Canis lupus familiaris: one gene and its partners. The protein of the gene in region 2 interacts with the protein of the main gene of each other region in a pairwise test. Links are inferred from orthologs where the notes say so. Each region holds a gene or a part of one and is shown on either strand. Other genes may lie near its edges.

The links.
Region 1: the proteins of GPSM3 (region 2) and GNAI3 interact in binary tests that used the Homo sapiens proteins (3 or more experiments, as listed by UniProt). The two-hybrid records come from large-scale screens. The link is inferred for Canis lupus familiaris from reciprocal best matches to the Homo sapiens genes GPSM3 and GNAI3.
Region 3: the proteins of GPSM3 (region 2) and GNAI1 interact in binary tests that used the Homo sapiens proteins (3 or more experiments, as listed by UniProt). The two-hybrid records come from large-scale screens. The link is inferred for Canis lupus familiaris from reciprocal best matches to the Homo sapiens genes GPSM3 and GNAI1.

The regions. Positions count from the first base shown.
Region 1 is NC_049227.1:42,744,134-42,747,776, reverse strand, and holds part of GNAI3 (guanine nucleotide-binding protein G(i) subunit alpha), read left to right. Parts: intron 1-1,523; coding exon 1,524-1,681; intron 1,682-3,643. UniProt on the Homo sapiens protein: Heterotrimeric guanine nucleotide-binding proteins (G proteins) function as transducers downstream of G protein-coupled receptors (GPCRs) in numerous signaling cascades.
Region 2 is NC_049233.1:1,716,031-1,719,827, reverse strand, and holds GPSM3 (G-protein-signaling modulator 3), read left to right. Parts: upstream 1-1,285; 5' UTR 1,286-1,418; coding exon 1,419-1,459; coding exon of another isoform or gene 1,460-1,460; intron 1,461-1,644; coding exon 1,645-1,766; intron 1,767-1,982; coding exon 1,983-2,182; intron 2,183-2,406; coding exon 2,407-2,544; 3' UTR 2,545-2,635; coding exon of another isoform or gene 2,636-2,707; 3' UTR 2,708-3,166; downstream 3,167-3,797. UniProt on the Homo sapiens protein: Interacts with subunit of G(i) alpha proteins and regulates the activation of G(i) alpha proteins.
Region 3 is NC_049239.1:20,150,761-20,155,156, reverse strand, and holds the start of GNAI1 (guanine nucleotide-binding protein G(i) subunit alpha-1), read right to left. Parts: upstream 2,921-4,396; 5' UTR 2,858-2,920; coding exon 2,740-2,857; intron 1-2,739. UniProt on the Homo sapiens protein: Guanine nucleotide-binding proteins (G proteins) function as transducers downstream of G protein-coupled receptors (GPCRs) in numerous signaling cascades.

The DNA of each region.
Region 1 (3,643 bases), on a different chromosome or scaffold from region 2:
ACATGTTAAAGCATTAGACATAGAAGGACATGTTCAATATTGAGTATGTTTGCCAATTTGTGTAATTTTTCAACTTTCCTCTGTCATTTGTTCCTTTATTTAAAATTTTTATCTTTGAAAAGAGAAGAGGGGAATATAGATGTTAGATGAAGTTTCAGAGAAGGATGGGCATAAAGTGTTATTATTAAGAAAGGCAGCTTCTAGAGGAGGGCTATTACTTGGCTGAAGATCTTGAGTTTGACAGCATTAACTGGAGTTCACAATGGTTAGTCTTGTTTTTTGCATACTTTTGGGTGCATGAGTTTTGGAAACACACAAGTATTAGGAGTTTTGGGTTGTGATTTCACCTCTGGTCTGAAATGCTTTTTGCTTGCTAGTTTATTGTCCTAATGACCACTTACGATACAACCAATTGCTCCTTTTCCCTCTTTACTTTTCCTTTACCCAGTAAGTATGGGTATTTTTTTAGTATCTGCATCTTAATAGTTATTTGGAACTCTCCTAAGGCAGATAAATATGAGATTTGAGGTGGGGAGAGCATCCCATGAGATTTCAGTATATGGGGTTTTTTAAAGATTTTATTTATTTATTTTAGTAATCTCTATCTCCAGTGTTGGGCTGAAACTCACAACCCTGAGATCAGAAGCCGCATGCTCTGAATGAGCCAGCCAGGCGCCAGGTTCTGTTCTGTTCCTTTCTCTTCTATCTTGTTTTTAAAGATTGAGACCTGGGTTTGTTTTTAAACTATTTGACAAGTAAGGGTAGGTAGAATAAAGCAAAATAATCAGAGTTCTCATAGCCCTTTTCTGTCCTCTTTACAGTTCATGTTTTAGGTTTAAAAACGTTAGCCACTTATAAAGCTTTTTGACTCATGAGTTTTGATCACATCTCTTTGTAACTTTCTTTTCCTCTTGCTCTTTTCCCCCCCCCCCTCTCTTATTTGAAGGATTATTATTCCTTGGGGAATCTACAAACTGAATTTTGCCCCCAGGGATTTATTTTCCCCCCTAGGCTTCTAGACTTCTTAAATAATTCAGTCTCCTCTTCCTGTTCCTCTGTCTGAGCTGAGGAAGAAGAGAACACTTTCCTTAAACTCCATTAATGTTTTACTCGCTCTGAAGTGTTTAGACTTTACCTCTTACATGCTAGTTTTTTTGTTTCTATTTTTATTGTAGGTTTGTTAACAAAATGGTAATGTGTTACATGTGTTTATATCACAGACCAGGTTTTTTCTGTCAAAAAGCTATGAGTAAGCAGGGTGGAGATATGTAAGCCACTCAGAAGAGATCTTTTTAGGAGATAGTGGTATGTGGTGGGGGGACTGAAATCATTCCTCAGCTCAGCTCTGCACTTCTAACTACAGTGGAATGAGTAGGGGGAGTGACTTCATTGTAAATTCTCTCAGACAGCCCTGCCTGGAAAGATCTCTTCAATACTTCTCTTAAAATAATGAAACATATAATGTGCGTGTCAAGTTCTTTAAGGAGCGGAGAAGCATTCTGTCTCTTAACTTCTTTCTTCAGGATGATGCCCGGCAATTATTTGTTTTGGCTGGCAGTGCCGAAGAAGGAGTCATGACTCTAGAACTAGCAGGAGTGATTAAACGGTTATGGCGAGACGGTGGCGTGCAAGCTTGTTTCAGCAGATCCAGGGAGTATCAGCTCAATGATTCTGCTTCATAGTGAGTAATTTTTCCATAATAGAAAATAATTTGGTGACACTAAGAAAGTTCAGAGTCTGTCCTTGACAAAACCTTAAGTAACAGACACTTTTAGAAGTCTGTTGCATGATTTCAGGTTAGGGTAATTACAAGCCCTTCGTCATTTTGTATGACTTGGAGAACAACATTGCCTCTTGGAATGTAAATGGGAGAATTAGTACCATGAAAAGTAGCTCCATGGTAGTTTATAATAAGTAAGTGAAAGAGGAGAGAAATCTTTTGCAGCTGGATCCTGGATCTCTTCCAATGCAGTTCCTTCTGCATAAGGACTTTGCATTAATTGCCAGCTAGTGAGGGAAATTAGAAATGTGATATCCCTTTTTATGCATCCAACTCTGTGGCTGGCCTGCACTATGGATTTCTCTGGTACTGGTCACCACTAATAAATCTTTGGCCAGATCACAATAGTAGACTTTGTACAGAGAATGTTGAGTCTTAGTAAGAAGTCAAAGCATCTGTTTGTCAAGGGAATTCTGTTAAGTGTTAAATAGTTTGAGAGAATGTGTAATTAATACTTGTGTGAGGCTTTGATGTGCTGATTTTGCCTCTTATACAACATGTGTATATATAAGATCTATATTCTGAATGTAGGTTTTTAATGTGCCTTTTGGAAACTTGGTGAGTTCTTTGTACCTGTATCTATCTCTGTTCTAATTGGAGGCACTTTTAAGTATTAAGGTATTTTCTCCAATATTCACATTTTCCTATCTTTCATTCTTATTTAAGTTGTTGTAGGAAGAAGTTAAATTATATTTGAAAAACTTAGTTATCTTGAAATGAAAACTTAACCTTAGAAAAATTTCAGGATTCTTGCCCACCTTTTTTTTGTTTTTGTCTTCGTTTTTCTTTTTCTTTTTCTTTTTTTTTTTTTTAAATTGGAGTTCAATTTGCCAATATACAGCATATCACCCAGTGTTCATCCCGGCAAGTGCCCCCCTCAGTGCCCGTCACCCAGTCACCCCCCCCCCCCCCACCTACCTTTCCACCACCCCTTGTTCGTTTCCCAGAGTTAGGAGTCTCTCATGTTCTGTCATCCTCACTGATATTTTCACTCATTTTCTCTCCTTTCCCTTTTATTCCCTTTCACTATTTTTTATATTCCCCAAATGAATGGGACCATATAATGTTTGTCCTTCTCTGATTGAATTATTTCACTCAGCATAATACCCTCCAATTCCATCCATGTCGAAGAAATGGTGGGTATTTGTCATTTCTAATCTTGCCCACCTTTTAATATTTTTTAGTTGCATATGTTGGTAGTTTCAATAATTCTCCCAGTAGTCATGAAAGCTAGATTGTTATTATTTTTTATCATACGTTCATTAAGCTCTAAATCCTTCAACTACACCAGAGAACATGTGATTTATAAATTTTTTTTCCTGGGGATCCCTGGGTGGCTCAGCGGTTTGGCGCCTGCCTTCGGCCCAGGGCATGATCCTGGAGTTCCGGGATCGAGTCCCACGTGGGGCTCCCTGCATGGAGCCTGCTTCTCCCTCTCTCTGCCTGTGTCTCTTCCTCTCTCTCTCTCTCTCTCTCTGTCTGTCTCTCATGAATGAATAAATAAAATCTTTTAAATAAAAATATAAAAGTAAATAATTTTTTTTCCATAATATTTGATTGAGACTTGCCTGATTCCTTAACATTGATGGTAGTACTTAGTTTTATAGAGGCTCATTAATGATTCACTTATAATAGTGCTACCTGTTCTTTAGTTTTCTAGCTAAAAACTCTTTAGGAATCTGAAATTACCAAAAATTTAACTTAGCTTTAAAAAAAATTAACTTAGCTTTGAAGCCGTCTTTTAATTAATTCCCTGAATAAATTTCTTGGAAGTATTTACAATATTTTTGACTTAGATTTTAAAAAACCCACAACTTTTTTTTTCCTGAATAAAACCAGAAAATATTCTTATTGAACATAGTT
Region 2 (3,797 bases):
CCCTTTGGATGGAGGTTTTAAGTACAGTTTCAAGAGCAAGAATAAGTAGAGTTGAGGGTACTGTGTTAATTTGGGGTATCATCTGAAAGCAAGAGTCTGGTAGCCCAGGGAGAAACCACACACACACACACACACACCTTCCTCCTCTTCCAAGGGCATTTAATTATTCCTCAGGCCTCAAGATGAAGATGCAGAGAGCATCTCAAACATTATCCACCTTTCAGAAACCTGGTTACTCCTCTTTAATGGTGATAGGCCTGAGACATGGAGGCATGAGGCATTTTGAAAGCTAATAGTAACTTATCATTTATTGAGCATTCCCTATATGCCAAATACTTTTACACATTTAATCCTCACATCAACTCTATAGTAAGGTAGATGCTAAAAAAGCTCCATTTTGCTCTGAGAAACTGAGGCACAGACATTTTATTTGCCAGAGACTGCAAGCATTAAGTGGTAGAACCAGATCTCTTTATTACATTTCATGCTCCAAGCCACTCAGCTGCAAACATAATATGGCTGGTTGCCATTTAGAGGTCCCAAAATATCTCTATCCTGCTCCCACCCTGTGCCAGCCAGCCTGACCAGCAGTGAGACCAAGCCAGAAAGGTGGTTGTCTCCCTATTCCATTCCTACATCTTTTATTCATGGCCAGAGGAAAGTTTCCCCTGCCCCTTGGCTCACATTTGGTACATATCTTGTCCCCTGAATAGACTGTAAGCACCTAGAGGGCAGGGATAACTATTTGATAACTCCATATTTATGGAATAGTGTGTGTTGGTTGGCACCACTGCTAGGGGTATGTGTACATGTTTCATGGCCCAATATCCCTGGATCTGAGTCCTCTGCTTCCCAATGCAACCATGCCCCTCCCAGTTCCCATAAGTCTGCAGGAAACTGGGATACAGGGAAGGGTCAAAGCCTACATTGGGGTCCTCTTAGGAAAGGGACCTGAGGAAGGGAGAGGGGCTCTGAAGAGCAAAACCACTTCCTGTGTAGCTAGTTCCTGTGTTGACAGAAAGAGCTGAAGGGGAGGAGGGGAGTGGAGAGAACAGAGCCTGGCCTTGGGGGGGTCTACTGAGCCTCTGGAGACGAGGAGGCCAAGAGTCCTTCCCCACCATGAACCTCCTCCACTACTGCATCTGGAGGAGCTTTTCCCAGTCTCTGTGTTCCCCTGGGGCAAGAGCGGTCAAGCAAGCAGTTTGGGTGGGAAAAGAGAACTGGAGGAAGTTGAAAGGGATGGGCGGGGCCAGTGGGGGGGCTGACCAGGAACCCAGCTTCCTGCTCAGTACCCAGGCATCCAGCCCCTGGCTCACCCCCACCCCTTCCAGCCCCCACTCCCCTCAGGAACCTAGAGTTCCAGCCCTCCTTCCAAATCCCAGCTATCCCTCCCCCATCAGTTTCTCTCCCCCCAGGGGATGGAGGCCGAGAGACCCCAGGAGGAAGAGGATGGTGAACAGGTGAGCTGCGCACTGGGTCGGGGAGGCTAACACTGGGAGAAAGGGAGGTGATGCGACATAGGGCAGAGACGTACTGACAGGGGATTCAGGGGACTTGGAAGGGCTTGGGCAAACTGAGGCAGGAACAGAGACACAGAGAGAGGAAATGGGCTGTTGGCCCACCACTCCCCCGCCTGACTGGACCGGATGTCTCCCAGCATCAAGGCCCCCATCAGGATGAGCAGGACTGGCCCCCTGTGAATGCCACCACTAGGCCTTGGCGATCTGCTCCTCCGTCCCCTCCTCCTCCAGGGACCCGCCACACAGGTACCCTCACCCGGCCAGGGAGCTCCCTGACCTTGGTGCCCACATCCTTCCTGATCCCATTACCAAGGCCATTCCCATCGTGGGCCCTCTCTCCATCTCCTAACTCCCCACTACTCCCCCTCAGCTCTGACCACAAGTTCCTAATCACCTTGCACCACCACCCCTCCTGTCTGCCAATTTCTCTGGGTCTCTGAGCCCTACCCTTCCTTTCCCCAGCCCTGGGGCCCTGCTCCGCCTCCCTGCTCTCCCTACAGACTGAGCTCCTTCTGGATTTGGTGGCTGAGGCCCAGTCCCGCCGCCTAGAGGAGCAAAGAGCCACCTTCCACATCCCCCAGAACCCCCCAAGCATAGCCCCAGCCCCACTTCGGCCTCTTGAGGAGAGAGAACAGCTCTACAGCACTATCCTCAGTCACCAGGTGAGACGCCTCCCCAGAAGGCAAGACCCAGGCTTGCCAGTTCGTTGGCCCTTGTTGTCTTTTGGGCCCTACTCCTCATTTCCCCAGCATCCACCCCTTTGCCAGGCCTGATCCCCTCCATCCCCATCACAGGTGCCCTATAGACCCCTTTCATCAGCCTTGGCTCCTTTCAGGGCCTATTCCTCTTAAAATATTACCGACAACCTCCCTTCCCTCTACTCCAGAGCCAGCGGATGGAAGCCCAGCGGTCAGAGCCTCCCCTACCCCCAGGGGGACAGGAGCTCCTGGAGTTGCTGCTGAGAGTTCAGGGTGGGGGTCGAATGGAGGAGCAAAGGTCTCGGCCCCCCACACATACCTGCTGAGACTTGAGCCCCTCCCCCCCACCAGGCACTCCGCACTCCTGGGGCTCAAAGCTGGGCAGCCCATTGCATGCCCTCTTCTCCTGCTTGGCAGGGGCGCCAGAGACTGAAGGACCTGGGAGAAATCTCAATATTCATCACCCTCATCCACCTTTCTGGGGAATAGAGGGGGTAAAAGTCCACAAACCCTGGGAATAGTCAAGGTAGGATGGTCATTTGACTCCCTTCGCCAGTACACGGCAGTTTGAAGAGGTGAGAGGATCCTAGCCACTGAGGGACACCCCCTCCTCTGATCCCAAGAAGTGGCTGGAAGTCTTGGTCCTGAGCTGTGGAGACACCCCAGTCAGACACCCATAAGGCAGAATCTGAGGGCTCAGGCCTCCATCTCCCTAGAAAAGGCAAATCTCCCAAGGTTAGGGCCTTGAGACACATTAAGAAGGGAGACAGGGCATTGCAAAAGAGACAGACCATCCTCCCACCCTACCACCAGCACCCCCAGCCCCCAGGACTGAGGGGCCTACAGGCTGTGAACCGACACTTAGCACTGCCCACCCCGCCTCCCCACTGCTGCTCGAGTCTGATGTTCTGGTTGTACGAATAAACGTAATTATCCTCTGGACTAAAAGAAGACTGGTGTTGAGGGCTGTGGGGGAGGGGTACGGGGGGGGCAGGAAGGTGAGGCCAGAGGCCGCCTCTCTCCCTAGCCTGGCGAGAGGCCAGCTCCCCTCCCTGGCTGGTTAATTACTGGCTCATTAAGCAGCGGCTGGAGACTTCCCTAATTATACCCCCCCAGCCCCCCTTTCCTGGTTTTAATTAAGTATAACAGGGAGGGGAGTCATTAGGACAAGAAATATGAACGGAACTGTCTGCGAACCCGGGCATTCTAGCGGCCGGAGTCCACGGCACCTGGAACCCCGACTCGGAGCCCCGGCGGCGGCCCCCCAGCCCCGACCCGCGCCGCCCTCCCGCCCCGGCCTCCGCTCCTCTCCCCCGGCCTCCAGCCTCCTCCCCTCGCCCCCTCGTCCCTCTCCCCTCCTCCACTCGGTCCCAGTTCCTCGGTTTCTGTGTGTCTCTCTCCGCCCCCAGCTCCTCCCCGTTCCTCCTCTCTTCTCCCCTCCTCTTCCTCCCCGGCTCCCCTCCCCCAGCCTCCCTCCCTCGCTCCCCCCCTCCGCCCTCCTCCCTCCTCCCTCTCTCGCTCACACACACCCCCGCTTGGGCCTCCTCTCTCTCTCCGGCTCCATTTTCTCCGCCGCCGG
Region 3 (4,396 bases), on a different chromosome or scaffold from region 2:
TCTGTAAATCTAACCCTCTACATCTTTGAAAATCATACCAATATTTAATTAATACCCATATGTGCAATATAGTCCCACTGAAAACACAGCCAAAACCTAATGATGTAGCCCTTAAAACAATGAGAGACCATAACATCCTCAAAGGTATGACTATAAGAAATGTATTCCCCTCAGGCAATTGGCCATCTCTAATGGAAAGAAACGGTCATTATAAAAATAAGTTTTTCTATTTAGGATTATCATTCCCATACCAATGCCTGAAAACTAAACCTAAAGACTTGAACCACTCAAACCCTGACCTAATTTCCTTTAGGTCAATGATTAAACTAAGTCCCTCTTTTTGAAGGCCTAATTCACTGCTCCTAACATGGATAGTAAAATATATGATTTAAAAAAAATTAATTATAATAGACAGTACCATTTTTTTTTTTTTACTAATAATGTGCATCTCATACCTGAATCTCTCAACCCAGATGTCTAAAAGACGATACATATATGCCTCAAGAAAAAAAAAAAAAATGCAGGGACGCCTGAGAGGATCAGCGGTTACAGCGTGATCCCAGGGTCCTGGGCTCAGGACCTTTGGCTCAGGGCGTGATCCCGGGGTCCTGGGATGAGTCCCACATCGGGCTCCCTGCAGGGAGGAGCCTGCTTCTCCCTCTGCCTCTGCCCCTGCCTCTCTGTGTCTCTCATGAAAAAAAAAAATGAAATCTTTTTTAAAAATGCAATATAATGAACTATTTACTATCTTAAATATACTTTGGATGCTTTTTGCCTTAAATGGAATTCATGTAATGAAAAAAACTAAAATAATTAAGAGGAAGATGACCTGATATAAATGGAAGTGACAATGGTTATAGACCACCTAGAAAACCATTTTCTATTTCTATTTGATTCAGTTGTGTTTTATATGGGACGATTTCATCGAGCTACTTACACATTTGACTTTAAACATCTAAAAAAGAACCGAAGGTCAAAACTTCACTGCTAAAGACAAATTAGGGAAAAAAAAAATGTTTTGAAACATTCCAAGAATAACATTTACGAAATAAGCCAGCATTTTGTTTATAGGAACTAGAGTGCTGGGACCCTGGGCAAAAGGGTAGAGTAGGACTAAAATAAGGAGTAAGGAGGAGAGCTGGGCCAACAAGACAGGGGTGCAAAGGATTTCTACAGAGAGAGGAGATGCAAGGGGAAAAGCAAAACACTAGAGAAAACATAGCTGATGGAATCCAGTTACCTAAAAAAATTTTAAAAATCATTCTGAAATCTAACATTGCTGGTACAGAAAAACAAAAATCTCATAATGTCTTCTGAAAATCATGACTCTTCTACACCCTCCTCCTCACTCTCACTATAGCTGGTTGTAGAGGTGCAACTTTTACTTCCACCTCACCCATTGAGCTATTCCTGTCCATGCAGGCGCTGCTCATCAGAGGTTAATCTTTACCCCCAGGGGACTCTCCCGACTATCTGGAGACATTTTCAAGGATCAAAGGTTGAGGGCGGGCGCTGCTACTGGAATCCCGTGGGCAGATGCCAGAGAACACCACGGATGCTACACATCCCACAACCTACAAGACAGCCTGCCCAACAAAGAACCACCCAGCCTAAGACGCCCATAGAGCTAACGTTTGAGAAACACCGACCTCTTCCAAACAGAAGCAAACACCAACTCCTCTGACTTTTATCCCAGCCCATCCCTTTCCAACAGACATCTAATGAAAGCATCAAACGACAGCAGAGGACTCCTTTTCCAATGGCTCTAAACATGGTGGATGGCTGGCTCAAAACTGGGGTCACAGGGAAATCCACGGAAAGGACGTATCAGAGCAGGAGTGCAGAAACTGCAGGGAAAGAACTTTGGGATCTTCCTTTTGTTTCCTTTATGTCTCAGGCACATTCCCAGCACAAGCGGACCACCTACCTGTTTCCCTGTCAAGGTGTGTTTCTTCTATGCTCCGTACACTGAAAATACACTGACCTCCGCCAAATATGGTATTTCTTGTTAACATAAAAACTTAGGTAAACAGCGCTAACTGAGAAAGATCTATACTGGGGACAAGGGTGAAGAAAACCAAGCAGGTCTTTAAGATGCAAAGTTATTTCACAGCTTGCTAGCAAAATGACTCAGATCATTATTACTTTTAGTCATGCCAAGTTTGCTGCTTCTAAGCCTACTAGTAATGGAGAAAAAAAAAAAAAAAACCACCATTTTTTCCTGCAGTCATTAAACCAATGAGACAGGAGCTTACTGAAAACAGGTTTGTGTAATATTTCTTTTATTATGGCTGGTGTAAAGCAGAAGCAGTCGCTGCTGGGGCAAATGAAGGTTCTGAGAAACCTTGCACCTGCCTAAGTAGCCATAGGGTGCATGTGAGCTGGGGGGGGGGGGGGGCAGGGAACAAAAGAAACCCCAAGTCAGATCCACAAATCCTACGCTGTGGGCATTTTCCTAATGCATCCTCCCGTCAAAACCCTGGCTTACTCTTTTTTTGTTTTTTGGCTCTTTCCGAAAGCTGGAGCAGAGCTCCGCAGCGCGCGTCTCCGGGACGCCAGCCCCGAGCACCCGCAGCAGCCCGGCCCGGGGAGGGCGCTCGGGCCCCGCAGGACGCGCCCCGGGCCCGCGCGGCGCAGGTCGGGGTCGGGGCCGGGGCCGGGGCCGGGTCCGGGGTCGGGGCCGGGGTCCGGGCGGGGTCCGCGCGGGATCCCGAGGTCCCGAGGTCCCGGGGCGCTCACCGAGCAGCAGCAGCTTGACCTCGCGCGCCGCCTTCTCGCCGTCCTCCCGCAGGTTGCGGTCGATCATCTTGCTGCGCTCCACCGCCGCCTTGTCCTCGGCGCTCAGCGTGCAGCCCATGGTGCCGCCGCCGCCGCCGCCGCCGCTCCTCCGGCTCCCGGGCCGGCGCCCCAGCGAGCTGCCCCCGCCCCGCCCCGCCGCCCGCCGCCCGCCGCCCGCTCCCGCAGCGCCGCGCCAACTCCCGCTGCCCCGCGCGAGCCCCGCCGCCCGCCGCCGCCGCCAGCGCCCGAGCCCAGCCCAGCCCAGCCCAGCCCAGCCCGAGCCCAGCCCGAGCCCAGCCCCAGCCCGGCGTCCGCGCCGCCGCGGCCCCGCCCCGCCCCGCCCCGCCCCCCGCCCCCCGCGCCCCCGCCCCGCCCCGCCCCCCGCGACCACTCCCGGGCGCGCTCCCGCGCACGTGCCCCGGACAGCGCCCCTCGCTCGGGCGCGCGCCCCCCCCCCACCCCGAACCCCCCGGCCGGAGCCGACCTGCCCCCGGGCGGCCGCGGGCGGCGCCGAAGTTGGGAGCCGGGAAAAGGCCGCCGGGCGTGGGAGCCTGCGCCGCCGCCGCGCGGGGCCGGGGTAAGGGGCTGCCGGCCTGGGGGGTGTGGGCGACGGGGGCAGCTGAGGGGGGCGGGGGGAGAAGGAGCAGAGAGGAGGGGAAGCGGGGGGGGGGGGAACAGGGAGGAGCGGGGGAGCAGCGAGGAGTGAGGGAGGAGTGGGGATGGGGGAGCGGGGAGCAGGGGGTGGGGGCAGCGGGGGGGGGGGGAGCAGGGGAGGGGGGTGGCGGGGAGAGGGAGGGGCAGGGGGAGCACGGGGGAGGGCGAAGTGGGGGGGAACAGGGGACCAGGGGAAGAGGAGGCAGTAGGGGGAGCAGGGAGCAGGGGAGGGGAGAGCAGGGAGGGAGGGGAGGAAGCAGGGGAGTAGGGAGCGGGGAGTAGGGGGCAGGAGAGCGGGAGCAGGGGGAGAGTGGGAAGCAGGGGAGGGGGGAGTGGGGAGCAGGGGAGGGAGCGGGGGAGCTAGGAGCAGGGGAGGGTGGGGGAGGAGGGAGTGGGAGCAGGGGAGGGGAGAGCAGGGGAGGGGGGAGTGGGAAGCAAGGAGGGAGAGCAGGGAGCAGGGGAGGCGCGCAGGGGGGAACCAGGAAGCAGAGGAGGGGGGAGGGGAGCAGGGGAGGGAGCGGGGGAGGAGGGGGGCCAGGGACCCGCAGAAGGTACCTCCCCCTCCCTTCCCCGTCCCCCCCTCCCCTCTCCTGTCCATTCCCACAGTTGTTTCCAAGCACCAACCATCTGCGTGGATTTTCTGGTAACTTGGCTGTTCAGCCTGCAGTTTGAAAGGCCGGAGCCTCGAACCCCCAGCGCCTCCCCAGCCGGGCCTGCCCCCGCCCGAACCCACCCCTGCGCAGATTTTGGCTCCGGATTTCTGGCACCTGGTGACCCTCTGGCACCTGGGTGAGCCGGAGCCGCGGCAGGACCCCTTCTCAGGCCTTCCTCAGGCTCCCGGCCCCCGAGTGGGCCTCGGACTTCTAGGGCTGGCGGCCCGGGAGCTGCGGGGGCCTGAGCCCGACACCCCCAAAGAAGCGCAGGTTTAGGGGCTGGACCCTTGAGGCCCCGACACCACACTTTC